Linked DNA regions of Arabidopsis thaliana. The protein of the gene in region 1 purifies or fractionates together with the protein of each later gene. This does not show direct contact. Each region holds a gene or a part of one and is shown on either strand. Other genes may lie near its edges. The genes, in order: STN7 and PSAF.

What was found.
Region 2: the proteins of STN7 (region 1) and PSAF fractionate together in Arabidopsis thaliana (co-fractionation; one study listed by BioGRID). This does not show direct contact.

What each region holds. Positions count from the first base shown.
Region 1 is NC_003070.9:25,865,519-25,882,306, reverse strand, and holds STN7 (Serine/Threonine kinase domain protein), read left to right. Parts: upstream 1-6,644; 5' UTR 6,645-6,833; coding exon 6,834-7,226; intron 7,227-7,318; coding exon 7,319-7,405; intron 7,406-7,485; coding exon 7,486-7,605; intron 7,606-7,685; coding exon 7,686-7,784; intron 7,785-7,861; coding exon 7,862-8,030; intron 8,031-8,121; coding exon 8,122-8,215; intron 8,216-8,338; coding exon 8,339-8,432; intron 8,433-8,537; coding exon 8,538-8,594; intron 8,595-8,992; coding exon 8,993-9,406; intron 9,407-9,491; coding exon 9,492-9,653; 3' UTR 9,654-9,895; downstream 9,896-16,788. Other genes in the region: RAV2 (uncharacterized protein), read right to left, coding at 807-1,865; RTFL15 (ROTUNDIFOLIA like 15), read left to right, coding at 12,221-12,361; AT1G68820 (Transmembrane Fragile-X-F-associated protein), read right to left, coding at 13,507-13,585, 13,687-13,766, 13,857-13,937, 14,015-14,075, 14,145-14,219, 14,307-14,515, 14,597-14,849, 14,940-14,985 and 6 more. UniProt on the Arabidopsis thaliana protein: Serine/threonine protein kinase required for state transition by phosphorylating light-harvesting complex II outer antennae (LCHII).
Region 2 is NC_003070.9:11,207,075-11,222,172, forward strand, and holds PSAF (photosystem I subunit F), read right to left. Parts: upstream 9,068-15,098; 5' UTR 8,866-9,067; coding exon 8,510-8,865; intron 8,247-8,509; coding exon 7,937-8,246; 3' UTR 7,602-7,936; downstream 1-7,601. Other genes in the region: LBD4 (LOB domain-containing protein 4), read left to right, coding at 6,033-6,209, 6,617-6,958; AT1G31335 (uncharacterized protein), read right to left, coding at 10,043-10,255; RUB1 (uncharacterized protein), read right to left, coding at 11,002-11,119, 11,587-11,846, 12,251-12,343; KUF1 (KAR-UP F-box 1), read right to left, coding at 14,445-15,098. UniProt on the Arabidopsis thaliana protein: Participates in efficiency of electron transfer from plastocyanin to P700 (or cytochrome c553 in algae and cyanobacteria). This plastocyanin-docking protein contributes to the specific association of plastocyanin to PSI.

The DNA.
Region 1 (16,788 bases):
CACTATAAGTCGCTTGAATCTGTTCGGGAACACATTACTATATTTTGGATTTCGTTCAGTTTACATATTTCTGTTTTGAGGTTAAAAGATTTCAGTCATTTATTAATGGTTCGACCTTTGGGGAACGAAACCTAGCTTATACCAATACCAGAAAACTTCGAGACGATAAGAGGCAGACTACTGCTAATTTGTAAGCTTGAATGGTGCCTTGACAATGTGGGCTATGAAGTGGTGAATTTCGAGAATGACTCTACAATTACATCATTCATGCCATATCCTCCCCTCAAGATTGGTCGAGACTCCAAGGTTGCTAACTTTTTTTTTTTTTTTTTTTTGCAAAACTTGTAAATATCATTAGAAATGAAAATAAAGGAATTACAGAAGCAACACCTAGAGTAGAGTAATCTTGGAAAAAAAGAGAGTAAAAGGTTGCTAACTTGCTATGTGAGATCATTAAGACACCTATGAGCATCCTTTAGTTGCCAAGTAAGAGAAATAAGTCCTTGTACGGTAATGGATGAAATTGCCAAGAATTCATCCTCTTTTTCCGATTTATCATGCAATTTTAGATAGTTAATTAATTTGATTCATCTAGTTTTAGGAACGGATAAACATTTAGGTTGTATCCGGTAACGTTTTACTATGAGGTAGGTCTATTTACCACTTTTCCACAAAACCATTGTTCCAATTTATTTTTTGGTCTTATCTCTTTTCCTAAATACAACCTAGCATGAATCACAACCTACACAACTTGACAAAAAAAAAAAATTAAAAAACGAAAGCATAAAATCGGAAAAGGAAATATGTCACAAAGCATTGATTATCGCCTGCTTCTTGGAACACCGTAACGCAAACATATCATCAACATCTCGAGATCTCTTTCCACCGCAAACGGCCACGACGTCGTTTGGCTTCACGGTGGTCACATTAAAGATATCAACTCCGAAAAGCCGAACCACCACCTGAACCGGGTTTTCTCTCGGACCAGACCGAACTTTCCAATCAATATATAACTGCCGCTCTAGTCCGGTCGATCTCTCGAAAGTAACAACATCACCGGCTCGAAGATTCTTCTCCTTGACGAATCGACTCCATCCCTTGGTCAACACGTAACTTTGACTACTGTTCCAGTATGAGTAACGGAACCTCCACACTTTACCGTTAACGTCTTCGAAGTTGATCAAAACTCCTTTAGTCACTGCCGGTGACGGTGACGGTAACGGAAAGTGTTTCTCGGCGTGTTGTTTAGGTATCACGAGACGGTTTAGCTTCCCAACGTCGCTAGGTGTAACAGCCTTCTCGAAAAGAACTTCACGCGTCTTTAAAACTTTGTCGTTTTGAGTAGTACTCGATCCGTTACGTTTTCCGTTAGCGTCGACGGAGAGAAACAACTGCCGTTTATTGTTCTGTTCAAGCTCGTCGGCGTAAGTGTGTTTTCTCAACATGTCGACGATCTCGGCCTTTGAGTGAGCTTCAAGAAAAGCTAAATCGCCGTCTTCCAGAACGTTCTTGAAGTTGACGACGGCGTCGCGGCCACGGAATCTACAAGCTGCGATGTCGTAGGAACGAGCAGCTTCTTCTTGCTCGTTGAAAGTCCCGAGCCATACTCGTTGGTGCTTCTCGTAGATCTGAGCTCCCCATCTTCCGTTAGGCTGAGGAACAACACCTTTGTATTTTGAAGATGGTAGCTTTCGTGACTCCGTCTCTAGGCCGTTCTCGGGATCCAACACGACGCTGCTCCCGCCGCTTCCCATCCGGTAGAGGCGTAACGCCGCCGCGGGAGGAGGAGAGAGCTTCTTGGCGGTGGTGGCGGAGAAAGATTCTGAAGTGGAGGAACTTATCTCGTCTATGCAACTAGAATCCATTTTCTTTGTTTCAGTTTCTTGAAGATTCTCACCAAACCAAGAAACAAAAATTATAACCTTTTAGCAGAAAGAAGAAACACAAATTGGGTGAGAGAGATTTAGGTGACGTTGTTACTTTTTCATTTCTTTGGTTCATCTATATATATACAAAGACATATGATGATGTGAGGAATGGACGAGGCAAGTGCATGTACATGTTATTATTTTATATCTAATTAGTTTTATGTTTTTGAAAGTTAAAATTTGATTGGTTTATGGAAAAAAATGGGTCAAAATGAGAGAACATTTTAAAAATGGAAAGGTAGGGTCAACGCTTTCAAGAACGGCAAAAATAACTTTGAAGGAAGTTTCCGAGAAGGGCAGACAAAAATAAATGTAGTACCACGGCTTTTACATACATATCGTACGTTTGTTATGTACATTTTTTGGAAAAATATTTCAACGGCGTAAGAACATTTTCTTACAACACATTACCACGTACTTTCATAAAATAAGGTTCTCATCAATCATCATATAAGTTGTTGAAACTGATATATAACCATAGTCAAAATTATTATTTTTATTGGATAACGAGAATTTCTTGGTTTTATAACTTATATATAGTTTCCGAAAAAAGATGGGTAGTATAGATTAGATATAGTTAAACATTAACTCTTGATTTTATTCATGATATTAGGGATAATAATATCCCACATTAGAAAAGACAAAGAAATCTTGACTAGTATATAAGACATATATGAGTCAATCTATTTATTAATAGTTGGTTTTGAATTAGATACCTCATATTCTAATATGGTATTAGAATCTGATCCATATGTATTCAATCCAATCTACAATTGGTCCGACGTAATTATAGTTTTTCTGTCGATCTATATCTGAACATACTAAAATTAATGGCTCGGAAAAAAATTATCTCGAGAAAACGTTTTAAGGATAATAATATCGCATTGAAAAGAAACAATTTTTTTGACTAAAATATTACATATAGACAAATCCACTTATTATCAATTAAATTTGAATGAAAAGTTCATATTCTAATAGATCATTAATTCATTGATTTATTATCAATGATCAATCCATATCAAATTTTATGTACAATTCAACACAGTTATGACATTCTAGATGCTTGGAGGAGAAACTAATTCACTAAATATCGATATGTTTTTCAACAATCCAAATATGTTCAATTATCTTGCTACATTTTGACATACATAGAAGAGTCAGATAAACAAAAAAAAGTCAGAGAAGAAGAAAATAAAATAAAATTAAGTCATTGACAAAAAACAATACATACAAATGAATAACCAATGGGTTACATGTTCATGGTAAATGTGGACCTACCAAGAGGGTCAAGTGGGATGGGGGCTCACATGAACCTATCCTCACTTCTTTTTTTGGTATATTTTAGTTCATCCCCCTTTGAAGCAATTGTTGTATGACCATATTTTTTTCACCATCTTTATATTTTTATTGGTTAAATGTTTTGTAAATTGATTAGAAAACAAAAAAGAGACTTTTGGATAGGTTGGTCGCAAGGATTATGATCTTATCTGATACTGTTGTCTCATACACTCATACAAATATCGTAACATATTCTGCTTTTTATTATATTTTTCAGTTTCCTTCTTAATTTGTAGCTCTTCAATAGAAAATGTTTTGTATTAATTTTGCAATAAGCAAACACTAATAATTCTCTTTATACAACTTACCATGTGGTATATGATATTTCTAATTTGTTACATAATATATAGAATAGTATCGATGTATGTATCTCTATATATATTTGAGAGAAAGAAAAATGGATTTATTGTGGACATGGCGTGATGTTCCCGCTTGGGAGGGGAGACAATTTGACTAGTTTGAGCTTATCCAACCAAATATTTTTGAAACACTCCAACGTTGATACGTTTTAATTTTCACCCTTTTAAATAGTTTTCACTTTACATATTTATAGCTTTTTACTAGTTTGTAACTATAATGTTCATATCGTCCGATTGTTTCTTGAATGAACAATTATTTTGTATTGATTTTTTTATATAATCGTAGACACGTATAATACTATCTTTGAGGTATGAACCGATAAATTTGTTGCTACCAATAAAAACTGAAAACACACTGTATTTCATAAATTTAAGATACCATCCGAATATGTTCTCTTACTACTTACTAGACTACTAGTCCAACTCAAATTAATTTGATTAAGAAGAATTAATTATATACTTGAATCCATATCTATTTAAACACTACAATATGTATTTCTATATCACCTCTCATCATCCCAACACATTTAATTTATCAATTAATATGAAACTTCAATAACCATCCAAATCACATGATAAGTTTGAATGCTGAATCAGTAATAATAAATAAAAATAAAAACATCAGCGAACAAGAAAATTAAGCATATTTTGCTAAACCCTCTCATGTTAACTATGGGAATTAATTTCTTTAACAAAAAAAGAAAGAAAATTAAGCATATTGATAGAAAATATCCTGAGAAAATCGTTAAAATGTGGATATAAATGTTGAGAAAAAAAGACAAATAATTATTTGAAAGTATAAGAAAAGGTCCATGCAACGTAGGAAAAAACATCGGGGTAAGGTGTCGCAACAGACGATGTCGTTTGGTCAACAATTTGGAGATGAAATTTAAAGTAGGAGAAAACTTGTGATACGTTTTAAGAACGAAAAAGTCAGCTCCATCATTGTCATTTGTCACTGTTAAGTATGGACCCAAACCTCATCTCATCCTAATTTTAGTAATATTCCGATTCCATCTCACTCGTTGGTTTTAGATTCTTATCTTCCATCGTTGAGATCGTACAGTTTTGGTAAGAAGACAAAGACTTCATGTATTATTGACATTTTTTCGTATTTCCATCTTCGGCTAATCAGACTTGACTAACTAAATTATATAATTCTGGTGGAATAATGAAACTCGTGGCCTAGTTTTGGACCACCAGAACTAACTTAATTAAATGATTATACCACCAGAACCAACTTAATTTAACTAATAGATTCAATTTTGTGGCTCCTACATACTATATAATTGGATACAAAAGTGAAAAGAAGAAAACTTAAATATTAACTAGCGTGCGACTAATTAAATATTATACACATCAAACTTTTGTAAATTGCAGCAGCCACTCGTTAGCGAGTTTCCATGACCTCACTAAGTAATGTTTACACATAAGTATATTATTGTTTCCGTTTACAATATATATAAATGATCTCACTTATAATATTGTCAACAATGAATTTATGTAAAAATATTAGACGATAAGCTAATTTTTTTTTTCATGTTGCTGAATCAAATAATCTAATTTGCATTTGTTAGATTTACTCAAAACTAAATAAACTTGAAAGTTTATCAAATCAATACTTTATGTAAAAGTGACTATCTGAAAAAAAAAAAAAAAAAAAAAAAAGTGACTATCTGGAAATGAAGCGACTTTGTCCAACTTGATGTTCTGTTCATAAAGCCGAGCAAAACAACAAATAAATAAAACTAACTGAAAATAAAATTATCATTGATTAGTTTAGCTAATTCGTGACTTAATGTAGTGATTAGTACTATGATAATATCATGTGAGGCAAATGAGAATATATTTGACTGTATCTTTTGATCACGTATCCACGTCGATACAGACAAGCTGTATATGTTGCGCGTACATTATGGTCAATGTTCTTACGATTCTTTTCACATTTCTTTTCCAGTGCTAATACAAATATTTTTATCAGTATACACGTTATGGATTCATTGTATAACTTGTCATCGGTGGGAATAATATTTCTCATCTGTTATTTATCCGTTATGTCATTCGTCGATGTACGACCCGCTTCAAAATAAAAGAATTTCGTAATTAGTAAAGCAAATACAAATTGTCAATTCACCAAATAGTGATCAAATATATGTTTGTCAAAAAAAATTCTTATATCTTAAGAAGATCAGATAGCTGCATTAAATCTTTGAATATCCGCTTGATTATTCGAAACGAGTATCATAACATCAACAAAACTAGTAGAAAGTATACAAGTAATGAAAGTAATTATATATATGGACTATATATAACATTTGTCTAACATTTGATAGTATTTGTTTTTTCTATGTCAAACAGTGATTTGTTATATCGATTCATAACGAACCATCAAGTTTTGGCCTTAAATGTTGGCAAGAAATATTTATAAATGCGTCGGTCAATTGCGTGACAAACTTTACTACAGTCATTATTGTAGAATGATAGTATATAGTATTACTTTGATAGGGAGTAGCATGTTAGTTAAGAGTTTAAAAGCACCAATTTCATATAATATACAATTATGAAAGGGAAAATATAATTAACTATCTCGCAAACAGGATTATGAAGTCAATTAGCTTACGTACATCGAGGTCAACGAAGTAAACAAATTTGCCAAATCGTTGTCATATAATAGTTGTACGGAAATGGTCAAAACACTTCATCAAGAAAGTTGATTTCTATTATTTCAATGGCTTAATGGTATACCATATAATATCATATATTTAAAAATGTGAGATTTTGTGATACACATCAATTGACGTAAATACATTTTAGGAAGACTGAAAGAAAAACAAATTTAAATTTAAACTTAAGATTAGCCGAGTCTTACTTAGCTTCAAATCGATAATTGATGGGGACTTTTCTAAACCAGAGTTTATGATCGGGTGGCGAAGAATTAGATTTATGGATCTTATCACTAAAACAACATGAGAAGCCCATTTAATAAGCACTTCATCATTAATGGGCCTAAAAATAAGCCCGTTTATTAAACCTTACATATCCGAATCTGATTTTAATCGACGTGTCCTTTGTGGTGTAAATCTACTAATTAATTTGAATGAACAGAAAAAAAAAAAAAAAAAAACTAGTGGTGCGAAATCAACGACTGTTTAAGGAATTTTGATTTTTTGTCTTCCAACAAAATTCTTCCGGTGAAAAAAATTCCGCCATGGCTACAATATCTCCGGGAGGAGCTTACATCGGAACTCCCTCACCGTTTCTCGGCAAAAAACTCAAACCTTTCTCTCTAACTTCACCGATTTTGAGTTTTAAACCAACGGTTAAGCTCAATTCCAGTTGTCGCGCTCAATTGATCGATACGGTTCACAATCTCTTCATCGGAGTTGGAGTTGGACTTCCATGTACGGTTATGGAGTGTGGTGATATGATATATCGAAGTACTTTGCCGAAATCTAATGGTTTAACGATCACTGCTCCTGGAGTAGCTTTAGCTCTCACTGCTCTTTCGTATCTATGGGCAACACCTGGTGTTGCTCCTGGGTTTTTCGATATGTTTGTTCTTGCTTTTGTTGAGAGATTGTTTCGACCTACTTTTAGAAAGGTTTGATTTTTATGATGATTTGAGGATTGTTTTTGGGTTTTGTCTCTTGGTTTGGTTGATTTTGATGGGATTAGGTTTTGGTTTTTGTGTAGGATGATTTTGTTGTTGGGAAGAAATTAGGGGAAGGTTCTTTTGGTGTTGTTTATAAAGTCTCATTATCTAAGAAACGTTCTAATGAGGTAAAAATAAAAGCTTTGATCAAATTGTTTATAGAGTTTCACTATCCTATATTGAACCTTATCATGGTCTTTGTTGATAGGAGGGTGAGTATGTATTGAAGAAGGCGACTGAGTATGGTGCGGTGGAGATTTGGATGAACGAGAGGGTTCGAAGAGCTTGTGGGAATAGCTGTGCTGATTTTGTTTATGGATTTCTCGATGTAATTTCTCTTCCTCTGAAATGATGTTTTCCTTCGACTTCCTTGATTTATGATTTTGGTGTTTGTTGAGATTGGTATAGAAGTCTTCAAAGAAGGGACCTGAGTATTGGCTGTTATGGAAATATGAAGGAGAATCAACACTTGCTGGTTTGATGCAGAGTAAAGAATTTCCTTATAATGTATGTGATTCTTCATGGTTATTTATCCTTTTGTAGTTATGTTATATGTTTTGTCACATTCTAAGGTGATGATATAGGTAGAAACTATCATCCTTGGGAAAGTTCAAGACTTGCCTAAAGGGTTGGAACGAGAAAACAAAATTATTCAGACTATCATGAGACAACTCTTGTTTGCATTGGATGGTCTTCACTCAACTGGGATTATCCATAGGGATGTTAAGCCTCAGAACATTATTTTCTCAGAAGGTAAAATCATCTGAGTTCTTGAACCTTTTTGAGCAATGAACCCAATGAAAAGATGAGGACTCATGTTTTGTGTCGACTAAAACTTGAGCAGGTTCTCGTTCTTTCAAGATTATCGATCTTGGAGCTGCAGCTGATTTGAGAGTGGGAATTAACTACATTCCAAAAGAGTTTCTCCTTGATCCAAGGTCTTTTTCTTTTCAAAATTTGTATCTTTCTCTGGCAAGGATCATAAATGTGAACTTTCTGTTGTTGTAAACTTCACGTTTCTCCGTTAATAAGTATCTTTCTTTTCGGGTTGTTGCTTTCAGGTATGCAGCACCTGAGCAATACATCATGAGCACCCAAACTCCATCTGCACCTTCAGCACCTGTTGCAGCTGCACTTTCCCCTGTCCTGTGGCAGGTGCAAACTTAATTGTTTGACTATGCGACCTTAGTTGATATAAAGCTATCCTAGTTTCATAAACTTAAGTGTTGGAATTTGATACTTATTGTTTTGTCCAAACAGATGAATTTGCCAGATAGGTTCGATATCTATAGCATTGGCCTCATCTTCCTTCAAATGGTAAGCAGCGATTCACCAATTGGCTTTAGTTTTCTCTGGATTTTCGACTCACGCATGTTCAACTATCTTTTGACAAGCCCATAGTCCGTGTGTTCTGGTTGTGTCAATTAATGTTAAAAATGCGTTCATCAGTCAGTGACTAGGATTAGAGTAAAATAGGAGCTCTTTCAGGTTTCTAGGGGTGTTAGTTTGAGCCTTGGGAGAGTAGGGAATGCTCTAGAATTCATTGCCCTGGATTACTTTTGGTTCTGTTGTTTTGATTGTTCTTGTTTTTTATCATCCCTTCTTCGATTATCAGAGCAGAAACCAGTTTCGTTCTTATCAGCTTCCTTGTGATGGAAAACGAATCCATCATACATACTATCTGTTAATATTCTCATCATGCTTTACCATTCCAGGCATTCCCATCCTTACGATCTGACAGCAACCTCATTCAGTTCAACCGCCAGCTGAAAAGATGTGACTATGACTTAACAGCTTGGAGAAAACTAGTGGAGCCTCGTGCAAGCGCTGATCTCCGTAGAGGGTTCGAGCTTGTAGATCTAGACGGTGGAATCGGATGGGAACTTCTAACATCGATGGTCCGGTACAAAGCAAGACAAAGAATCAGCGCAAAAGCAGCTCTTGCTCACCCATATTTCGATAGACAAGGATTGCTCGCGTTGTCCGTCATGCAAAACTTGAGAATGCAATACTTCAGGGCTACACAACAGGACTACAGTGAAGCAGCAAATTGGGTAATACAGTTAATGGCAAAAAATGGGACAGAAAAAGATGGTGGATTCACAGAAACACAACTCCAAGAACTCAGGGTTCGTTGTCAATCTATACTCTTTTCATTTTCTTCGAGTACCTCCTCAAGCCTTAACCATTGTTTCTCTTTTTGTAATATTATAGGAGAAAGAGCCTCGAAAGAAAGCGAATGCGCAAAGAAATGCTCTTGCATCAGCACTTAGGCTTCAGAGGAAGCTTGTGAAAACAGTCACTGAGACCATAGATGAGATTAGCGATGGCCGCAAGACCGTTTGGTGGAACCGATGGATCCCCAGAGAGGAGTGAGGACAGACTCTACTTACAATATATCATTTTTCATTTCGGTTTCGATAGTGTAAATCTCAATGTATATCTTATTAGCCCTTAGTAAAATTTCTACTACTTGTAAAATCAAGTAATCTTAAAGAAAAAGATGTATTGTACCTAAATCCACAAACTTGGGAGTCTCTGACTCTGTTTCTGAAGTTTCATAACTTTGTGAATACTTGTTTATGTCCTAGGAATTTGTGAAACCCTCAATTAAAAAAACAAAAACAGAAAGAAGGTATCTTGAACAGCACGTTACCCTTTCGGGCTTCGGACCTGAGAAGTGAAAAACCATGAGCTACGCACGAAGAGTCAGAGAAGTCTCTGGTCAAGCAATATAGCTTGCTGGCTCTCGAGGTAAGTAATTGTCTATTTTAATTTGTCTAAACAAATTCCGTTCGTACGCCATTGAAGCTGGAGTCGTTTCTCTAACTCAACCTTTTTTTTTTTTCACTCAGAGCACATGCATTTAATACTCTAATACATAATTTTATGGCTTGCTTTTAGCAGATTTTATATTATAACCCAATATAACAATAGCATCTAACATTTTTTGGAGTAGGGCTTCGAATTAATATAGCAGAATAGATAGTTCAATGGTCGAATAGCTTCTAGTTGAATAGTCGTAAAACGTTAACAGAAAGTGGTTTAATTTTTTCTTCTAGTTCTGTTTTTTTGGCATACCACCAACTAGTGGAATCATTTTTCAAAATTATATAAGAATTGATGACGATGAAAAGGTGTATATGAGAATCATTTTTTCACGTTATGAAACCGTATAAAAATGGTATATATATCATTCATGAATGTAGTTTTTTTTTTTTGTATATCATTCATGAATGTAGTTGTTTGAGCTTTGTTGGATCTAAAAGGTATAATGATCACTCTCACGTTTATCCATCGCACAAAGCACACGTACGTAACTTTTTATTAATTACGTACACAGAAACGCAAATACTAATTAATTTGTTTAAATTGGTCACAACCACTAGAGGTGAAGAAAAAGTTGGTTCATAAAAGGACGACAAGATTTCAAAGAAAGAAGAATGACAGAGACCAACTCACATACTTAACCATAGATTAAAAAAGATAAGTGTAACTTTTAGTATTTTCTAAAACTTGTTCTTTTAGACGACCAAAAGCTAAAGGCATTTTGTGAATCACGAGAACCTCACGTGCGGTTCCACTCTCCATATTCGAGGACTTCACTTTAACCAATGACAACAGCCAGTAAACCACATCAAACCACACCTAGCTCTACTTGGTTATTTGTGTAGCTAATTATTTAATTAACTTCAATCTTAACGTTAACTATGAAGCTGTGATATAGCTGTAGGATAAGATCTTCCAGTGCTAATTTTAATACCCTTTGTTTTGAGTTGTTAACGATTAATGTGAATTGAAAAAAAGAAGAAGATGATTTACTTCTCAAATCATACCAACTATTTGTCGGGTTTTTGGTAAAAGATTGATACAATCTCACTTATTATATTTAGAAGAATCTAGAACTTAGGATTATGCCACCTAATTAACGCCTAACTGTCCCACATTTAGTTATATAGTTTGGTCTTTAATACTGTTATTGACGTTTGTTTAATTGTTTCTATCACCAATTTCGGCGCAATGCATTTTTATACTCTACAGAACTTCATACAATTTGTCTACCAATAATTTATATCTGACTGAAATAGACTAAACATAAAATTCGATCCTTTGAATATTTCTCCATGTGGCTACCAGATTTTACTAGTGTATATATTACTTCTAAACTACAATTGGTCGCTATGGAAATATCACTAGCTCACAAGTCGCAACAACTATTTAACCTATGTCTATTAATTAAAGGAATTTAATGTTATTCTTCATTAGTTATTATTATCAATCGCAATCATCATTAAATCTCAAATATGATTTACAATATGTTGCGGGGACCAGGCCACTTGTCGATTTTGGATGGTTAGTATAGTAGTTCCCGACAATTTTGGTTGGTCACATCTTTTGCTAACTTCGAATACGGGTTGGTATACACTTAGGATTTTAGACAAAACCATATCAAAGACTGATACACTTAAGATTTTAGACAAAATCCATTATATGAAAGACTAAACCAATCGAATTCGGTATAGTATTCATTGGTTACAGAAAATGGTAATTGAGTGGATCCGACTTTAACAATTTTGGGTTTGGTTAATGTTTTCATGAAGAGAGAGAAGCAAAAGCATGTGATAGAGGATAAATAATCACATTTAGGGCAAAGATTCCTTCAAAAGATGGGGTCCACGTGGGTATGGAGGGGCACAGTGTCCGGTGGGTTAGGGAACAGTGCACAAACCCCAACGGACCCACTCGTTGCCTCTTTCATGGACCGGTCTAGTTCGGTACGGTTCGGTTTCTGTCCTTAGCCACCACCTTTTTCTCACTTCTATATATAACTCCTCTTCATGTATCACCTTCTTCATACTCCATAACATCATTTATATCTCTCTCTTTCACATTCAGTTCCAAAACAAATTACACATTCTTGATTTGTGATCGTTATAGAGAAAATGAAGACGACCGGTTCGAGTGTAGGAGGAACAAAGAGGAAGATGTGGAGCCGTGGAGTGGGAGGAGTGGTTAGAGAGCAAAAGGCTAAGCTTTACATCATAAGGAGGTGTGTTGTCATGCTTCTTTGTTGGCATGACTAAAATCAAATCATTATCAACATCATCATCATCAGCTTAATGAAGACTAACCAAAGATTTTCTTCCTTTTTCCTCTTTTTTTGTTGCGGGTCTTACTTATAACCAACCCTTGGGAAGAAAGCTTTTATATGTATTGGCTTCTAAACGGAGCTATATATGTATTCCTTTTTTGTAGTAGATTTTTCATCCCAAAGAAGGTTTTTTCAGATGTATATTTGTAACTTATTAATCGATATCTTTTGCTGTTTATTGCTGATTAAGTTTCTTTAATTTTGCTTCCGATATAATGACCTTCACAGTTCACACCAAACAATTTATAAAGGTACAATTCTAATTTTTTTACTATCAAAATATATTGAGAAGAAATAGAATAAATAACATGCATGATCCATCATATTTTCTTCACCATTTATAAAGGTACAATTCTAATTCTTTTTTGTCAAAATGAGTTTAATTCACAACAGAATAATAACAAAAATCAATTACATTATCACCAACTCTTTTTATATAAAAATGCGGCGGACTATAGACAAAAATACCAGAAAATAAGAGTTTAGAGATCTTTTAAAACACAAAATTTGTTTTGATATTGTTTTTTTATAATTGATTTTTCTATTAAATGCATGAGAAATAAATTGTTACAAAGCCTTTTAAGTCACATTCGGCTAACAGCCCAAACATACCAAAAAGAAGAACCATGTTAGAATCACATTAGAAATACATAGTTGAGGCCCAATATGTAACTTTGATCAAATACCCAATCTGTTGATCAATCTCATCGGTTTGTGGCCATATTCTTAGTTGATCATTCCCTTGTTCCTTTAAACATGCAGAGAACAGAAAAGCTTTTTTGGATGCTCACTGCCTAACCTCGATTCAAAATCCTTTAACAGTAATATGTTTTATTTCTTAACCGTTACCACTTGTATGAATCTTTGCAAATTGTATGATCAAAAAAAAAAAAAGAGAGAAAGAAGATTCATGACATATACGATGGTTTACAGTATTATTTACATCCACTCGAAAACGAATCAGAATTTTTCCTATGCAAGTTGTAACATATATATATATAGTGCTTGCTTCATTACTAAAACAAAACCAAACAAGCAAGAAATGTATTCTTCATTTCTGGATTGGAGCTCTGAAATCTACACATCGTATACAGGCATACGCTCCTCGATCAGGACACGACAAATCGGACATTTCTTGCATTTCTCGCAGCATGTACTGAAAACCAAATGTATCAGTAAAATATCAATTATAGCCAAATGCTAATTCTACTATGCGGTTAAAGTGAGATAGAGAACAAAGAAGGAGCTTCGGTTTACCTGCAGAGGACGTGATGTCTACATGGGAGTAGAACCACGTTGATCGGATCTTCAAAGCAAACTCTACAAAGAATCTTCTCCTGAAATTCAAAATTTTGTAATTTATTGGGTTAAGCAAATCGTTACTTCTGTGGAGGTTACTAAACAGAGAAAATGAGTGGAGGGAGTACGTTTTGAAGCCTTTCGTACTCTTGCTGGCTATAACTGGTGATATCTGTTTGCTCACTCAATGCAGCTTGAAGTCTCCATATCTGGTGAGGGATTTAAAGATTAAAGATTTTGCTTTGGTTTCAGATATTAAAAAGGAAATGACTTATGTGTAACTTACCTCTTCAACAAGATCAGACTTTGGCATTTTCTTCACAACCTCTGGTGAGAAGGTGTTGTATCTGAGTCAAACAAAATTGTTGTTAACAGAGCCAAATTGACGACTTGTTAGCAAAAGATGAGAGCTTTACCCAGTAGCTTCTCCAGAGTAGAGCCTTGCTTGTTCTTCCCGACTTCCTTCATCGATAGACCACCAGCCAAGTAATCTGTGATTTACAATATGAGAAAGATTAGTACTTAGGAGGACTTATTCCCCATAGATTCCTATGTATAGTTCGTTTCTGCTAACGTACCTTGCACCATGTTGAAAGAATCCCAGGAATTCACGAGCTGATGATGTTGCGGTAAAATATCTTCCATAAGAACCACTACCACTATTTATTAATAAGACTGATTTCTCAACCAATCTATACATAGCAAAAAGTACCCCAGCTCCTTGTAACAGAAAAAGAGGTACAAACAGAACTAAAATCGGAATGTTTTTGGCAGAAGCTGGCGTTCCCTGAAGTAAGATTAAAGAGAATTAGCTCCAACCAGGGAATTCGTAAATGTTTCAAAAGCAATGGATTTGTCTGTGTTGTACCTCTAAGCGCATGAAAAGGATGATTTGAAAGGTCACAAATGGAATTTTCATAACATGTCCACCAATATCTTGGAGACCACATATTCTGTTGCTTTGCTGATGCTCGTCGTCAGCGGTTACTACTAGACCTCTGTTCCAATCCAGATATCTTACTACCATTGAAGATGAGCTAGGTTCCGGTATATGTGAATACCTATGAATTGACTGATTGCTCCACTTTGTACAGACAAGAAACGCAAAGCACTCTGCTATTCTGTGAATTGAGGAGAAAGAAGATTGTTCAAACCTGGCACAGAAGACATTTTTAAGAGGCAGAAGATCTTAAAGAGAAAAAGTAGTTTACCCGAAGTTTATAAATAAGTCCCACCATCCCAACGCAGCTACGTCACCTATATAAGGACTCGAAAGATAACAGATTCAGAAACAGATTGAGATAGAGAGATTATGAAGCAGAACAACAGTTATGAGTATGCAGTCGATTTTACAAAATTACACACACACACGCACGCTAACTGTTAGAACATGCAGTCACCAGATATCATAACAACCTAAAATTACTTTTCTTCTTTTAATCTTTTAAGTTGAACTAAGGACATGGAAGTGACACCTATAAGATTGCAGTTGGAAGGGAGAAGATCACTAACTCCAAAAAAGATAGTTAAGTAAAAGCGTAACATACCACATAATTTAAGAAGAGTGAAGGTTGTTGCGGCAATGAAGAAAACCATAGATATGGAAACCCAGAAATGCTACAAAACCATTAGACAATGTCAGAGACAACCTGCAGAGACAAGTTAAAAGAGAAATATAAGGGATCATATTTTAAACTTGTCGAGCTTTGATTACAGGAAGTGTTTCCCATATGGCTTCATCACTCATAGTTTCTTCATCTCCAGGCATGAGCGTCCTGCACATTCTGCAGGAATAGTTGCAAAAAAGATTTAATTGTTCCGTACTCTAAGAGTAGTAAGAAGGGTGAACAAAATCAAAAAAGCTTTGAATGGAATACCTGACATTATCTATCAAAATTGCTACCTCAAATGCAAGCAACGGTAGAAAGACAATCTTTAAGTCAACAACTGCAAACAGAGGAGCACAACCAAAGCCTATAATAAACCCACCAATCATACATGCCGTGATTCAATGAATAGAAGTCATGGAAAATACCATATTTATCTTCAAGATGTACACAGAGAAGGATCTCAAAAGCAACAAGAAGTGGTGTTGCCATAACCGAGTGAAAAGGAGCCCACTGCCACAAGACCAAGTTAGGACTTAAACACAACAAAGAATCAAAGGTTCAAAATGAAACAAGAGAATCATAAAAATGCCATACATGTCGATCATGAGGCATTGATGGAGCAGGCAATGAAAATCTACCACGAGCAATCACAGCATGAAACAACCACAAGGGTGCAAATACAAACCTGTAAAAACAGACAAAACAACACATACTTAAAGAAGAGTGAAAGCTATCCACATCAAAGTCTTAACCTTTAAGGATGGTATTGAAGATACTACTTCTACTTTATACATCACCAAAGATTCAAAGTGATAAACCTAAGAAAGAGTTTAACTTTAAGACAAAAAAAAATCCAATTTTACAAGAAGAGAATTTGCATAATTGAGAATCCAATCGATCAATTCAAACATTTCACAATACAAAACAGAAGTCAAGCCACCAAAGACGGAAACTTTAAGAAGAAGAAGAAAAAAACTGACCACCATGAATGAGAAACAACATGATCAAGCTTCAAAGCGAGAAGAAGCGTGAAGGAGAAGAGTAAACAATGCGCAGAAGCCGCTTGAAACGACTTCCAGACTCTTCTCCAACTCATTACTCTTCTCTGTACCAACATTTCGCCACAAACCCTAAGCCTCTTAATCACTAAATCACAGCTAAAAATCAAGATCCAATTGTTTGATTTTGGGGGGTTTTCAGATGGAAAAGTTGAGATTTTTCGCGGAAAATTTCAAGAGGGTAACACAGAGAGAAGAGAAAAAGATTTATTCTTTCGAGAAAAAGACATTTTCCCGACTCGGAGAAAAGCTGAGCTTCCACGCCAAAGCCCTTCCTCTCTCTGTTAATTTATCCTTTTTTACCTATATACCCCTTTCACTTTTTGCAGCGAGCCAGCGACTATGGTCATAGCTAAGGGTAATTTGGGGAATATGGTAACGTATTATAGAGA
Region 2 (15,098 bases), about 15 Mb from region 1:
ACATTTATATTTCCAAATTTCCCCTTGCGGTCACCAAAAGCTAATTACTTTCCTTCTTCTATTTATTTCAATACTAAAACATAAAAAGCCCAATTCCAAAAGATTACACTTGTCTTTAAATATTTTCGGCAAATACTTAAGAAATAAATGAAGAAAAGAATAACCGGCGTTGAAGATTTTGGGTTTTTTTTTTACTTAGAGAGAGTATATATGAATTCTATACTATACTCCTGCTGTTCTTTATTAATTGATTTTTTAGAAGAAAAAAAACTGTTTCAAAAAGATTTATTTTTAAGATTTTTTTATGCACTATGTATTAGTTATTATTGATGAATTTATTATTGATAAATTTTAAACTTCAAGATAAGTAACTAAATACCATTGGTTTATAATTATAGAAAAATGTAAATTACAAAGACTGATACATTTGTAATCAATTTTAATATATTTTTTAAATTTGTGTGTTTTTTAGAAAATTAATTTAAAAAACAGATGGAGTATATAATTGATAATTTTTTAGTTATATTAGAACCAGCAATTTTAAAAAGCAAAGTTCTGGTTTTAGTTGAGTGAAGTGCTGTCCCTGACCTACAACAGTACAACCTAACATACTAGTGTTTTAGACATTAATACTCATTAACAAAAATATTTGTTTTAGACACTAAAACTGGACCGGGTTTGGATTTGAGTATTATGTTTATGTATTTTTTGTTGGCGAAAAATCAATCTTTGTCTGAAAAGCTACATAGCCTTGACTACTATGGAAAAAGAAAATTTATCCACAATGTTACATGTATCGTATTTAACAATTTAGATATAACAAACCAAATATATAATAGGAATTTCGATCACATATGTATAGCACTTTCTTTTTTATTGTTTTACGAACTTTTTTTGCTAGTTACCCGGTTCATCAAAATTTAATTTGTTGACTGTGGGAGTCATATATCTTGAGTTTGTTTGGCCAATAATCTAAAGCTAATGGATGAACGATCAGGAAGATGCAAACTACATTATCCATCAATTACTCCAAGTCGTGGCCAAAGGCAATATTTTCTCATCAAAGTAAGAATTCAACGTCTAACAAATATTCAAATCAATTTCTGCATTTGCAGGGAAGGAGAATGAAGAAAATGAAGTGGCAAGCAGTGTAAAACTATATACGATTAGAAAAAATATAACAAATTTTAGCGAATACGATTATAAAATTATATACCCAACATATTCTTTGTATGTATATTTTTTAACATAAGTAGTGAGCATTAATGTTGTCGACGAAAATTTCATTGTTAGGTAGGGGCCATAATGATATGGAAGTGATCTTCTGCTTAATTAATTGTAGTTTTAAAGTCCATGACCAGTTCTTTTCATTGAGAAATAAATTCCTCTCCAATCTAAATCTAGTTTTAGATTTTTGTTTACCATTTTTTTATTTGAATTTCCATCAACCGAAAGAGCTTTTCTTTTGGTTTGCTTTATTTCTTTTTTCATGCTCTTTCAACCGTCAAAGTAACGTCTCTAGTCTCTTTGTCTACTTCAGTTAACAGTCTTCTACTCTCTCTCTTTCTTTTATCTTTTCTCTTTTTGTTTGAACCTCTTGCCTTGAGGAACAAAGTGTTGAAACATAAATTAAGAGATGCAATTTGTAAGAATTCATACACACAAAAGATATAGTCGGAACATTGGATTATGTTTTTCAATCTAAGTAACGGAACATAGGTTCATATACTGAATTTGTTAATGATTTTTAAAAAAAATCTCATACAGTATATATCGTTTGTATAAAATTTATTAGATTTAAGTGATAATTTGATTGATTAAAGGGAAGCTAATCATCAATATCATGCTGAATACTTTTGATCATGAGAGTTGCTTTTTGATTATATTATAACTAACTTCTTGGGATGATTAACTTAAAACTATATTAATTTCATTTTTAAAATGGTTTAGTTAGGTATACTATTAACTCATGGTTTGATTGGTAATTTTTAACCGCCTCGTCTGTAACCGAAACGCTTTGAAAGTTATCAATAAATAAAGCGATTAAAAGAAGCGGTTGGAATAAGTAGATTGTTGTAGAGAGATGTTGGGAGAGAAAAAAAAATAAGACGGTTGGATTTGTTTTTTATTTATTTATAAATTCACATATATTAATCATAATTTAATTTCTTTTTATTATTTTTATTTCAACGTTCCTATTATTTGACCGCTTGTTATCAATCATAACCATAATTTTACAGCTCATTTTAATTTATTCACCTTCTCTTCTGCTTGCTCTAACAATTTTGTTCAACAACTGCTAAAAAAACTGTTAACTATATTTGTGAACGATGTTATCAATGGAACCCTCAGTCGTTTGGGTTGAGGAAATTAGAAAGTAACATTATTAAGTCAGGGAGAGGTTACAAAAAGAAGGGACAATAATAGGTAATCAATAGGGTTGTTGCATTCTTAATTTGACAAATTAACTACCACTGATTTTTATAATTACAACAAGAGTTGACCAATTGTAATAATAACACTCATGATGTAATGACAAAATTATATATTGCATGAGTAGTTTGTACATTATATTTCGTAAAAATGACTAATTCAAGGACCCCATATAATGATATATATACTCTACTTCTTAAGTAAAGTTACCCAAGTTTTGTTCCAAAAAAAAACGTATAGTTACCTAAGTATGACTATTAGAAGGGGGCTATTTAATTTAAGGATTGTCAAGAAATATTAAAAACTTTTCAAACAAGTGTTTTTTTATAATGTTAATTTATCCTCTTTACCTTTTAATTCAAATGTTGTTTTATATATAACTTAAATTTTGTTTGCTAACAAGTATAGCTTTAGGTTTTCAATATAGATTTTTGATAAAACTATCGTTTTAATGTATGAATAATGAAAAAAAAATAAATATAATAATAACTTAATAAGGGGTAAAATCCAAAGTTTGTTTTAGAAAGAAAAAAAAATATGTGAAAATTTTAAATGACACTTACTGTGGAACAGGTGGAGTATTACTCTTTAATTAACCACATTTTAGGTTATATTTTCCTAGACAAAGAATCCATAGGGATAAGGAGTGAATCCTGAACAAAACCCAATTGAGCCCAATGAATAAAAAAGACATCCAAAGTAGGTTTGAAGGAAAGGATAGTCCATGCTCCCTCCATGTAGAGTGAGTGATGGTAAGTAAATGTGTCTTATGAAGCTATCGACACCAAGTTGGAGATAAACAAAATTGAAAAGCCAATGTACGTATGATGTTGATTCAGGATTAAAAATTTATAATATGGTTATAAAGTAACATATATCGTGGATTTGAAATCTGAAAAAGTCACGTACTGTATGTTGAATATGTAAGGTGTGTTAATTGTAAATCATTATATAATAACAGGTTCAAAGAAAACGAGTAGCCACCTGCCGATGCAAATTTTTTTTTGCCAATTACAGACAAATCAAAGATTTGGGATTGGAGAGGAGAAGATCTATTGAAACCGACACATTAGGTCCAAAACATTTCATTTTAATTATTATGATTTAACGAAATAGTAAAATACATATATCAACCTTTTTGGTCCGGTCCCTGTTCTTACGTCTGTGATCATAAAGTATAGAGTGATTTTTTATTTTTTTTCATTATACAAATTACAAATGACTAATTTAATTAATTAGTGAACTTTTAATTTGTCGATAACCAATAAGAATGATGGAAAACGGCAAAAGAGTCGACTGTTGAAGTTTGTCGGAAAGACACTCCACCAAAATATAAATACAAATCTTATCACTAGTGGAAACTGTCGAGTGTGTGTAGTTCTCTTTTCCTTCTAATAAAAGAATATTATCTTTCTAAATTCTTCCAAATTCATTTTGGAATTTTCTTTCCTTTTTCTTTTTGTTGACATGAAATTTTGGAGTCTTCTTCTATCGCCAATTACGACTAAAAAAACGATTTTATATATATCAACATAGCTCTAACAAGAACATGATAATCGCAAATATACATAGATTTGCCTATTTGTACACAAGCAAAGTTAGTTTTAATACTCAGTATATTACATCTCATGAAAAGAATTTACAGTTTTTTCTATTAAAGCTGTGGGAGTTTTCTTCTAAAATGTTTTTTTTTGTCGTCCTTGTAAAATGTTCTACATTCGTCATTTTCAGGCTATCTTTGATTTCGAAAGCTGTGGGCGTTTTCTTTTTTTAATTTTTTTAATTTTTTTTTTTTTTTGTCTTTTTCTACGAAAATAAAATAGCGTGCACTGTATTGTTTCTTTCAACTTTATTTTTTGACTAGTGAAAGACTAGACATTTTGTTGCCCTGCCCCTATATTTTTTGTGTTTATTTTAAGGTTGTTTTTTCTCTTTTTATAATGACCGTAAAATGAGTTTTTACAAAATCTGCTTCAAATATGTAATGAAAACCTTGATAATATGTAAATGTACTAAAAACAAAATCTTGATATGGGTACATGTGAAAATAGTATATTTCTGTTCTAAGAATATACTGTTTTATGTTCTAAAATATCAACAAATAGATATCTTTGCATTTTTTTTTATACATCAATATTAGTATTACCTACATTGTCTAAGAGATGTAACCCAACTTATGTCGCAACTAGAACTACATCTCAGAAATCACCGAGCCGAGAGAAAATTGTAAGAGTCCTCGACCAGCAAAACGTAGGAACATCAACTCAAAGCAGTCGAGAATAAGAACCACTGACTTGCATCAAAACAGAAGATCTAACCACACCACACAGAATCCGAAAAGAAGACATCCACCATCGTTTAAACTTTCAACCCTTGACCCAACCACCGGTGATAAAGACTTGTCCATTATAGTTTACTAAAGTTTATGATCAAACTTAAAATATCTGTTGTTAGATTGATACCTCTAATTCCTTTGAATTGCTTCTTAGATTTCCACTTTACCCTTCCACGATTTTTAAGCAATGGAAAATTAAGTTTCATTTGTTTCAGATTTTAATATTAATCCCCTTCTATGCAAATTGAGGGACCACGTAGAAAGTTGTGAGAATCTCAATACACAAAAGATATAGAAACAATGATTACATGCACAAGCACGAGGCCATAAATTTCCTTATCCTATACACATTTTCAATAAAGATGTAACATTCCAAACAGAAAACCCTCTTGTAGCTCACTCTACAAAAAAAAGAGTATAGAATTCCAATATTAAAGTTTATAGGTCGACTATTTCAAAACCAATTGCTATAAAGTAAATTGATTAATATTTTTATACTCTCTTCGATTTATAATATAAGTTGTTTTGGACCAATTTTTTTGTTTTACAATTAAATTGTTTTTAAGTTTTTATGCAAACTATATATTTATTTTAATATTTTATAATTATTTATATTATGCAGTCTCTTTTGTGATTGGTTGAACTTTTTAAAAGTAAATATTCTTAATCTTCGTACTTTTAGGTAAAACAACTTATATTGTGAAACGGAGGGAGTATATCATTTACAATTTCTCTTTATTTAGTTTTGTGGTGATTCCGAATATTAATTACAACTTGTACCATTTAATTCAACCATATTCGAAGAAAACATTAAAGGCAAAACAAATTAAGGGGAAAAAGAAATCAAAAGTTAAAAAAAAAAATTAAGACCAATGAGAATAGATAAGGGGTAAAAGACAAAAAGAGAATATAAAAAAAACAAATAGCATTTGGCGCCAAAAGTAAAACTAAAATGGTCATGTCACGTGATGTTAATTTTTGCTCTACGACCAAAGCAAAACAAACCTAAAGTTTTCCAAATCTCTGGGTCCCACTCTCAGATGTGCTGACTTTTATTTTTTTTACTTTTGTCTTAAATCTTTGGAAATTTTCAGTTTTAATTTAATTTAATTCATCTCTCTTTCTCACTCTATAAATCCCCACAGATCCGTCACACTTCACCTAGAGACCCTCCCACAGCTTTCTCGATAACTGACAATCCAACGGTTGAGATTCAGTTCTTCTAGATAAATTCACATATCCAAAGGACACGTGGCGGCGAGAGATGAAAGAAAGTAGCCGGAAGCAAGGAGCTGCGTCACCGTGTGCTGCGTGTAAGCTTTTGCGGCGGCGGTGCGCTCAAGATTGCGTTTTCTCGCCGTATTTTCCGGCCGATGAGCCTCAGAAATTTGCTAATGTTCATAGAGTGTTCGGTGCTAGCAACGTCAACAAGATGCTTCAGGTTTCTTTCTTCTTGTTCTTCTTAAGAATATCTAAAACGTGCTTACTCATATGTTGGGTTAGGTTTAATTAGGATGATTTTCTTGTTTCTTATTTTAGATGAGACATTACTATCATTTCCATAACTTTTTATTGACAACTACCACATGGGCCGACCCGTTTATATTATAAGTTTAGGGATTTAAAAACAAAATTGTTGAATTTTAAGAATTTAGGAATATGTTACATTTATTAGCTGATGTTGAATTTTAACCATATTAACTTTTGTTAGCTAATGTTAATGATATGATTTACATTTCTTAGCTAGCTGATGTAGAGTCTACATTTGAGATGGATTATATAAATTTTATATAGTCTTGCGAGATTAATTGGTCTAGTGGCTGACAAAATGTTTTAAAAACTCAACAGGAATTACCAATCCACCAGCGAGGGGACGCTGTGAGCAGCATGGTTTACGAGGCTAATGCAAGAGTGCGGGATCCGGTTTACGGTTGCGTTGGGGCAATTTCGTCCCTCCAGCAACAGATAGATGTGTTGCAAGCTCAGCTAGCTCTAGCTCAAGCTGAGGTGGTGCATCTACGTGTACGCCAGTCGACTAATTTCCCAGGGCACGGACTATGCCCGGATAGTCCGAGTAGCAGCGGGTCACCGTCTTCGAAGCAAGTGAGTCCACAGGACAACAAGGGCATGTTTAGCCATATGGACATTGTGGATGAAGCCAGTTTGGGAGAGTCTATGTGGTCTTGCTAGTCAATAATGCTCTCTTTCTGCTACTGCAATTTCCTCTTCCTTTTTTGGGAAATTTCGGGATTATTATATATTAAATTTAGGGGTAGGATATGAAAATGCTCTGTTTTGACTACAGAGTGAAATTATTAACATGATATAGATACATAAAAATACTAAATATATTTATATATTATAAATCTCTCTCTATATATTTATTAGTATTTGTAACTTTGTAATTCCGGGGTATTTGGGATTTGGTGTATGTGTAGGACCTTTGGATCATGATCCGGTAGGGTTATTTTGATCATTTCCAACCGAGGAGGGATCTTTGTTATTGACCTAATGTAAATTTGTGAGATATATTATTTATCTATATCTATATACAATTATGATCATGTAACCCATGGTGTGTGCTTGACTCTGTGAGCATATTATCGTGTAATGGTCATCTTTGATACTAGCTAAGTCTAGCTTAGCAATTAGCACTAAGCACTTGTATGGGCCTGAATTTTTATTATGCAAACTTATGGCCCATTTGTCTTTATTTTTTGGTTTCCTTGCAAACATTTGCCATTTGATAGTCGCTGATAGAATCGCTCGCATATGAAGGAAACAGAAAGACCGGACCGGAGCATGTGCTTGTGGTAAGAAATTTACAGTGAGCTTAAGAAGAAACACAAGTAATTTAGTCTATTATAGTTCAAGAGCTTCTCCTGCATTCATGCAAATGCAAGAGTGGTAAAATAGCATTATACTAAGTAAATTTGGTTATGCTCCTGTGCGTTATATCAGGATATTCCCTTCAAGCAATTGAGCTTCACATAGCAATCACTAGACCGCAAAATCACAATCTGTCAATCACCATTTTAGCCATAATTCTTTCTACTTGCGCAATCCAAATTTTATAAGGTTTTCGACAATGCATTGTTTTTCAATAAGTACAATGGAAAACAAAGAGATTAGAGAGAGTAACACAAAAGCAGAAAACAAGTTCCCTTTTTAAACATCCTTAGCAATGAGATCACCATTGAGAAACTCTCTGTAGGCAGCAACGGGCCAAATGAAACCACGGAAGATGATCCGACTAGCCAAAGGAACATCGATGATGATCTCTTTCATCGCGGGTTTCTTCTCACCACTAATAGCTATTAAGTAGCTTCTTCCAACCCACCCGATCCATCCAGCAATGTAGAGGAAAAGAATCCCTGGAGTAATGAACTCTCCCCAATGCCGCTGGTCTCCGTTCACTATCAAGTGCGGTAAACCGTCTGACCCGCATAACAATCCGTACTTCCCGTAGTTGTCGAACCTAACATACATTCATAAGCACATCAACTTCAAACCAATCCACAGTTCCACAAGCTCCTCAATAGATCATATCAATGATCAAATTTAACATGTCTAGCAACTTCGAAAACTCACTAACTCACCAAAAAAATCATACTAAAGCAATGGATCTAGCAAGTAATTCACTAAAACAGAGAAAAACTCTGTTTCAGAACAGAGGAAAGCTCTGTTTCAGAACAGAGAAAAAGCTCTGGTTTAACGAAGAAATAGAAATGGAAGACGAACCTGCGTTTGGTTTTCTCGATCTGAGCATTGAGAGCAAGAGCAGGGGCAGATTCAGGAGCGTAGAGCTTAAGAGAAGATTCAAGCTTCTTGATCTGTTGCTTCTCTCTTTTAGCGAACTGTTTTGAGTCCTTGCAAGGAGTCAAACCTGAGATATCAGCGACAGCTGGCATAGGAGCAGAGAGGAGGATGGAAGAGAGGGCGACGGCGGCGGAGAAAGCTTTCATGGATTGAGGTGTGGAGGAGGAGGATTTGTCATCGGAGCAGACGAATCTTGCGGAGGATTTAGGTACGGATTGAGTGAGAGATTTGTTAGATCTCGGGTTGAGAACGAGATTCGCCGGGATAGTGAGCGACATGGCGCTTTGTCGGGTTCTTTGGAGATTTCGAATTCTAGGGTTCTGGAGTTTTGGGTGAAGTGTGGAGAGAAGACTTATGGGAGGAGCTTTAGATTCTTGAGGGGATTAGTGGAGGGAGAGGAAGATAAGAGAAGTGGTCTTGGGGTGATGAGGTGGCGTGTTGTGATTGGTTGATAAGTAACATGTCACTGGATAAGAGATTTTGCCGCGGATTTTAATAGTTTTGTCATTTTGATGTTCAAGATATGTGGACTACACACGACTTATCTTTTATTTATTTTTAATATCTATACATATTATATATACACTGAAAATAATCATATATATATATATATGTAGCAAAAAAAAAAAGAGATGTAGTTTTTTAGTCCTGATTAGTTTTTTTTTTGGCAAATAGTCCTGATTAGTAAGACTGCAAAATTGAGTCTTTTATTGGTTAACCACATAATAAGAAAATGGGATCATGAGTTTGCAATATCAAAGAATTAAATCTATATATGACCAAAATAAACATTAGCAGAATTACAACTCCTTCTACCATTCCGCCGGAAGGAGGCTACATTTTTTGTAATGTTTGTTTGAAATGCTTCACAGATATCTTCTGATAAGATCTCTTGATCTGTCTCTGAAGTCTCAACACCTTAATTAGGGTTTCATCTCTTAAGATATGCTTTTCTTTAAAGTTTTACCATTTTTTCAATGTATTAACTGTCTATTTCCTGGCAGAAGAAACAAATTTCTTCACATTTACCCATATATATATTGTTTATAGCAAAAATATTTCGTCTTTTTTTTTTTGGTCTAATTATATCCGAGAGGAGAATTTGGTTGTGTTACCACATCATACTTTGAAGTTTGAACTCGTTGAATTAATAACACGCAGTTCTGATATATATTATTCTTTTGTGAAAGAAGTTCTGATATATTTCTAGATGTTTTTTTTCCTTTTTTTTCTTTTCTAGATGTTTCTTATAGAATAATCAATGTGTAAACCATTACTAGCTTTCTTATTTACATCAAAGAGATAGGAAAATACACAAATAAAGAAGGAAATTCATCCCAAGAAAACTAAAGACAATCAAAAGATTACAAGTTACAACAATTCACAATAAGTCAAACAAAAGCATCTTCCAATAGAGACAAGCAAGACAGACAAAGAAGAGAAAATGAAGGAAAATCAGACGTTGTGAGAATTGTCGGGCTTGGCGTGTGGAGACAACGGCGGAGAGGAGGCGGCGATAGCACCGGGAGGCGGAGCTGGAGCTCCATACACCTGAGGATTTGTACGGATCTCACGACGGCCGCGAGATTTTCCGAGGAAGTAGCAGCCAAATCCGAGAAGTAGACAGAAGAAAATTAGAGGCAGAGATATGACCACAACCAAACCCATCGATCTTGACTCTTGAGATCTATGTTCAATCTTCTTTCTGATTGATTTTTATTCTTGGACTCTTGTTCTTGCTTTGATTCTACTTCACATGTATTTATATGTATGAGTTTGTGGGAGGCTCTGGAAGGATCCGATTCTGTCCGCAACGTTTATGTCTTGTAAAGCTTTAAAGCTTAACGTTTAAATCTCAACGGTCATCTTTTTTTTTGGTCGGCCCATCCATACGATTTCTTCTAGTTTTTATAATCACATTAGTCATGTCTCATGTGCTTTTCTGGCTATGAAAGTATAGAGAATCAAACTCAAGTTGACAAGTTAAGTTACTTAGAAAATTAAAGTAAAAATTGTTAAATGTGATGGACACTCATTGGATTTGACGATTTGTAACCACTATTTCATTGTAATGCAAATAAATATGGGACTATTGATGGACTCATGCAACCAGCAATCTCAATCGGCCTGGTCCGATCTTACACATAGCTCGATCCTATTTTCACATGTCTAGCCTCTTTCTTGAATGAAAGATATTCATCATAAATAGCTAAATCCCAAATAAATATGTTAAAGTACGATTCGATGTTAAACAAAACAAAATGATTCGATATTTAACAGATTATTGGTAAAATGATCCAAACCCAGTGAAACAGCATAATATTCAAAGTATCATATCCAAATTGCAATCACTTTTTTCCCATGAACTCCAACAAGCCATACAAAGAGAAAAAGATATCTTCAAGAGTTACTTCTCAGAGAAGACCAAAACCACCCCTAAGGGCAAGAACCAGATGAAGAACAGAGCCTCCCTCTATGTTGTAGTCCTTTGCCGTTTTGTCATCAGCTAGCTGTTTTCCGGCGTAGATTAGCCTGCAAACATCCATGAGATATATAAGCATCCTAGAAATACTAATGAGAATCACTGTTATATGAGACAGCATAGATTATCAGCTTGCACGCAGAGTAGAATCGTTTGATGCCAAAAGCATAAGTAAACACACTCGAAAGGAGCTGCAATTTTCTCAAGAGGGAAGCAGCCAGTCACTAAAACATGAAAATCAAGTCAATGAACCGCAACTTATACAATCAAGTAAAAGAGCTGAGCTGAAAGGAGCTGCAATTTTCACAAGAGGGGCAAGTCACTAAAACATGAAACTCAAGTCAATAAACTGCAACCTATCTTATACAATCAGTTTTGACTCAACCACACAAACAACTCTAAGAGAGCTGAGACAGATATCACAAAGAGTTAATATAGTTCAAGACTCAATGTTCCCAAGGCAAAAACTTTGCGACTCAATTCTTCTGAAGTAACTGGAAAAAAAGAAGTTATTTACCTTTGTTGAACAGGAGGGATACCTTCTTTCTCCTCAACACGTTCCTTAATCCGATCAATAGTATCGGTTGGTTCGATATCAATCTCAATTTCCTTCCCTGTGAGAGTCTTCACCTTAATCATAGTCCCACCCCTAAGCCTCAATACCAAGTGAAGAGTCGATTCTTTCTGAATGTTGTAATCCGCTAATGTTCTACCATCTTCAAGCTGCTTACCAGCAAATATCAACCTCTGTTGATCAGGTGGTATTCCCTCTTTGTCCTGTTTTCATCAAATCCCATCCATTCATAAACCAATTAGAAGAAGACCAAATCAAAAGATCATTAACAATAATCTTAATCCAATCTTCTTAAACTCAGAAACAATTAACCATTCTCAAGCAATTCACATACCTTCAAGTGTACCATAAAACATAAACAAATACGAAATTAAGCAAACACATGAAGGATTAAGAGAGCCTTTGTGCTTACTGTTACACAGAAATCTAAAGAAATCTTAACATCGATCGCTAGATAATCGGGGAAAGAAAACCTAAAAATCAATCAAACAAAGCAAACCAATCTGTGTCTCCAACAATCAAACAAATTCATAGTGCAAAACCCTAGAATCCTAAGAAAAGCACGAGGAGGTGGAATTGGGAGACGGAGAAAGAGAGAAAGAGAAACCTGAATTTTGGCTTTGACATTGTCGATGGTGTCGCTGCTTTCGACCTCTAGGGTTATGGTTTTTCCGGTGAGGGTTTTGACGAAGATCTGCATTTTTTTTTTCCTTTCTTCGCTGAAATGGTGTTTATGAATATTATTACGGACGGGAAAAGTATTATATATATACAAATAAAATTTGGGATATAGTTTTGAGGATTTTGGAATAAAAATACTTTTTGAAAGATTTGGAATAAATCCTTTGATAGAATTCGTAATTAGCTTTTGGGCTACGCTATTATTTCTTCTCCATTTCTTATATAATTTTACTAACAATTTTAAAAATTATCTTTAAATCAAATATATTAATGTGGCTTTAAATATATTGAGATTTTTTTGTTTGTTTGTTATTTTAGGATATTTAACTTTTAAAAACAAAAATTAAAAGAGTTTTTAGATTTTGTACTAAAATTAGTTTTCTTAGATTTTAAGAAAATATGGGGACATTGAATTTTTTTTTTAGTTTTAGAACCAAAAACGAAAACAACAAATTGTTGACATTCAATTTTGTTGGAATCTAGAGCTTAGTGCAAAACCCACTAGTCTCTACATACTATGGACCATGTTGTGGCAGTGAGTGGTTTGACGCGAAACCTCTTAAATACTATGGTCAAAGAGATCAAGCTATGTTCAATTTTAGACGGTGATAAACCTGAAAGGTCAAATGGAAGAATCTTAAAAGCTCGACAACATTTCATTGGACTTGAATGGGTTGTCTCTCTAGCTAGCGTTTTGTTATTATAAACGCAGACTCATCGTGAAAGAATTCACCCTTTCATGTAGGTATTGGAGACGCTTCACGCTTGTTTGGACCATATGTGTATCCCAATGGCATCATACCAAAATTAAAGACATCTCTCTAACCGTTTTCTTCTCAACCACTAAAAAGCCTTTTCACCATCTTTATTCAAACTTGTTCACATATAGAACCCATGTGATTTTAAAAGTATGAACCATATGATAGATTACAAGATGGTCCACATTGACGTGAAGAGCTCATATAAAAGATGGCCTTTATTTCTTGTCAATTTATCACAAAGAGGTCTCTCATTAAGCCCAATGGATCGGATAATTTTAAATCCAACCCAATAGATCACTTTTCTCAATTCTCTATTCTAAGGTTTTTAAGCTTTGGTTTCTACATATAAATTCAATTAATTTTCTGCTGATTTTTTATTTTCACTGACATATGTTAGCTTTCTGAAAGTTGGTTTCAGTCAATTGAAAATTGAAATCAGTTATTCAACACCACAATAAAGATGCAACGAAAAAACAAAAACAAGTTACACATAGCTAACGCCTTACAATGCATGAGAGGACTTTATAAAATAGGTGATTCTTATCCATATTTTTGTATGTCTACATCTTGAGTTGTTGAATAAACGTGGTTTGTTCTGGTTTACTCCAAGTTGGTGAGTCTCTTAACATTATAGCATCACCGATGGCTTTTGGTCAGTTTTGGTATGCTTAATCAATCTCCATAAAATAGAACAGATAATAGGTAAATGAACCATTATAAATCTCATCAAACTTAAATATTAACTTAAAATCAAATGATAAAATGAATCGACTCCCCAATGTATATATGAATAAAAGGTTTAAATGCATGTAGCGGACGAAATTCGCTAAACGATTAGCGAATTAGATTATTATATTTTTGGGATAGATAACAATCTATTGTATACCAAATTTATTTCTATGTACAAACGGATCATAGTTAGTCCGCATCAGATTTGTTATATTTTTTGACATGTACTACTATAAATTATACTAGAGGTTCACTCCATAAACGGATTCGTCCACTCCAACTATCGTAACCATTCGTATCCAAAATTTTATTTTATTTGATATGTGAAATTTCTAATAATTGTACGTTGATTCATAAAGGAGAGAGAGATATTCCATATTTCCACAACCAAACAGATTTTTATTTTTAACTACGAGTTGAATAAAAATTATATAAAGTTGTATACCATAAATTAAGATTAAAAAATTCTGACGTGTATTGTCTTTTCATTTGCAGTGCAGGTATTAAAAAATAACGACAAGATGACACTTTTCCACCAGAAAAACGGGAAAACAGAAAATAAAAAAAGTTCCGTATACTAAAGGAAAAGAATAATAATAATAATAATAATAATATCACAAAAAAAATACGTCAGCAAAAATTCGGTTGACTCATTCTTGGTAAAACATGAACCGAAACCGGTTCAAGTCCATCAGGAATCTCAACATTCCAAATCTTCGCCGGCTCCGCCGCAACATCCACCACAACAATTTTCCCATCACCAGTAACAACACAAAGTTTACCGGAATCCGCCGTTACTTGCGTAGCTCCTTTAAGCATCTCTTCTCCACCTTCAACCACAACCACTTCTCTCCACTCTCTCTTCTCATCATCGTACTTTCTCACTGTCCCTCTCCTCTCATCCACCGAATAAAGAATCTCCTCCTCCATCGCCGCAACCGGGCCTCTCCATCCAACCAACATCTCCTCCGGCATAGGTTCCCAATCATCTTTAACGACGTCGTATATAGCTCCTTCTTTAACCGCGTCTCCTTTAACATTTACCATTAAAAGCTTTCTTCTATATCCAACAGCGTCTATAGCTTCTCGACTAAACCGTAAATCTCTCATATCTCTCAATTTCTCCCAATTAAACCGGTGGTTATTCCGGTTTTGTTCGGTTAGATCTAATTTCTCGACAGATTTCGCGACGGTTGATGAGAACTGAGAACTAATTCCGCTTGCGATGTAGATAGCTCCGTCGCAAGCTCCGGTGGCGCACCACCGTCTTGGAGATCCGATTCG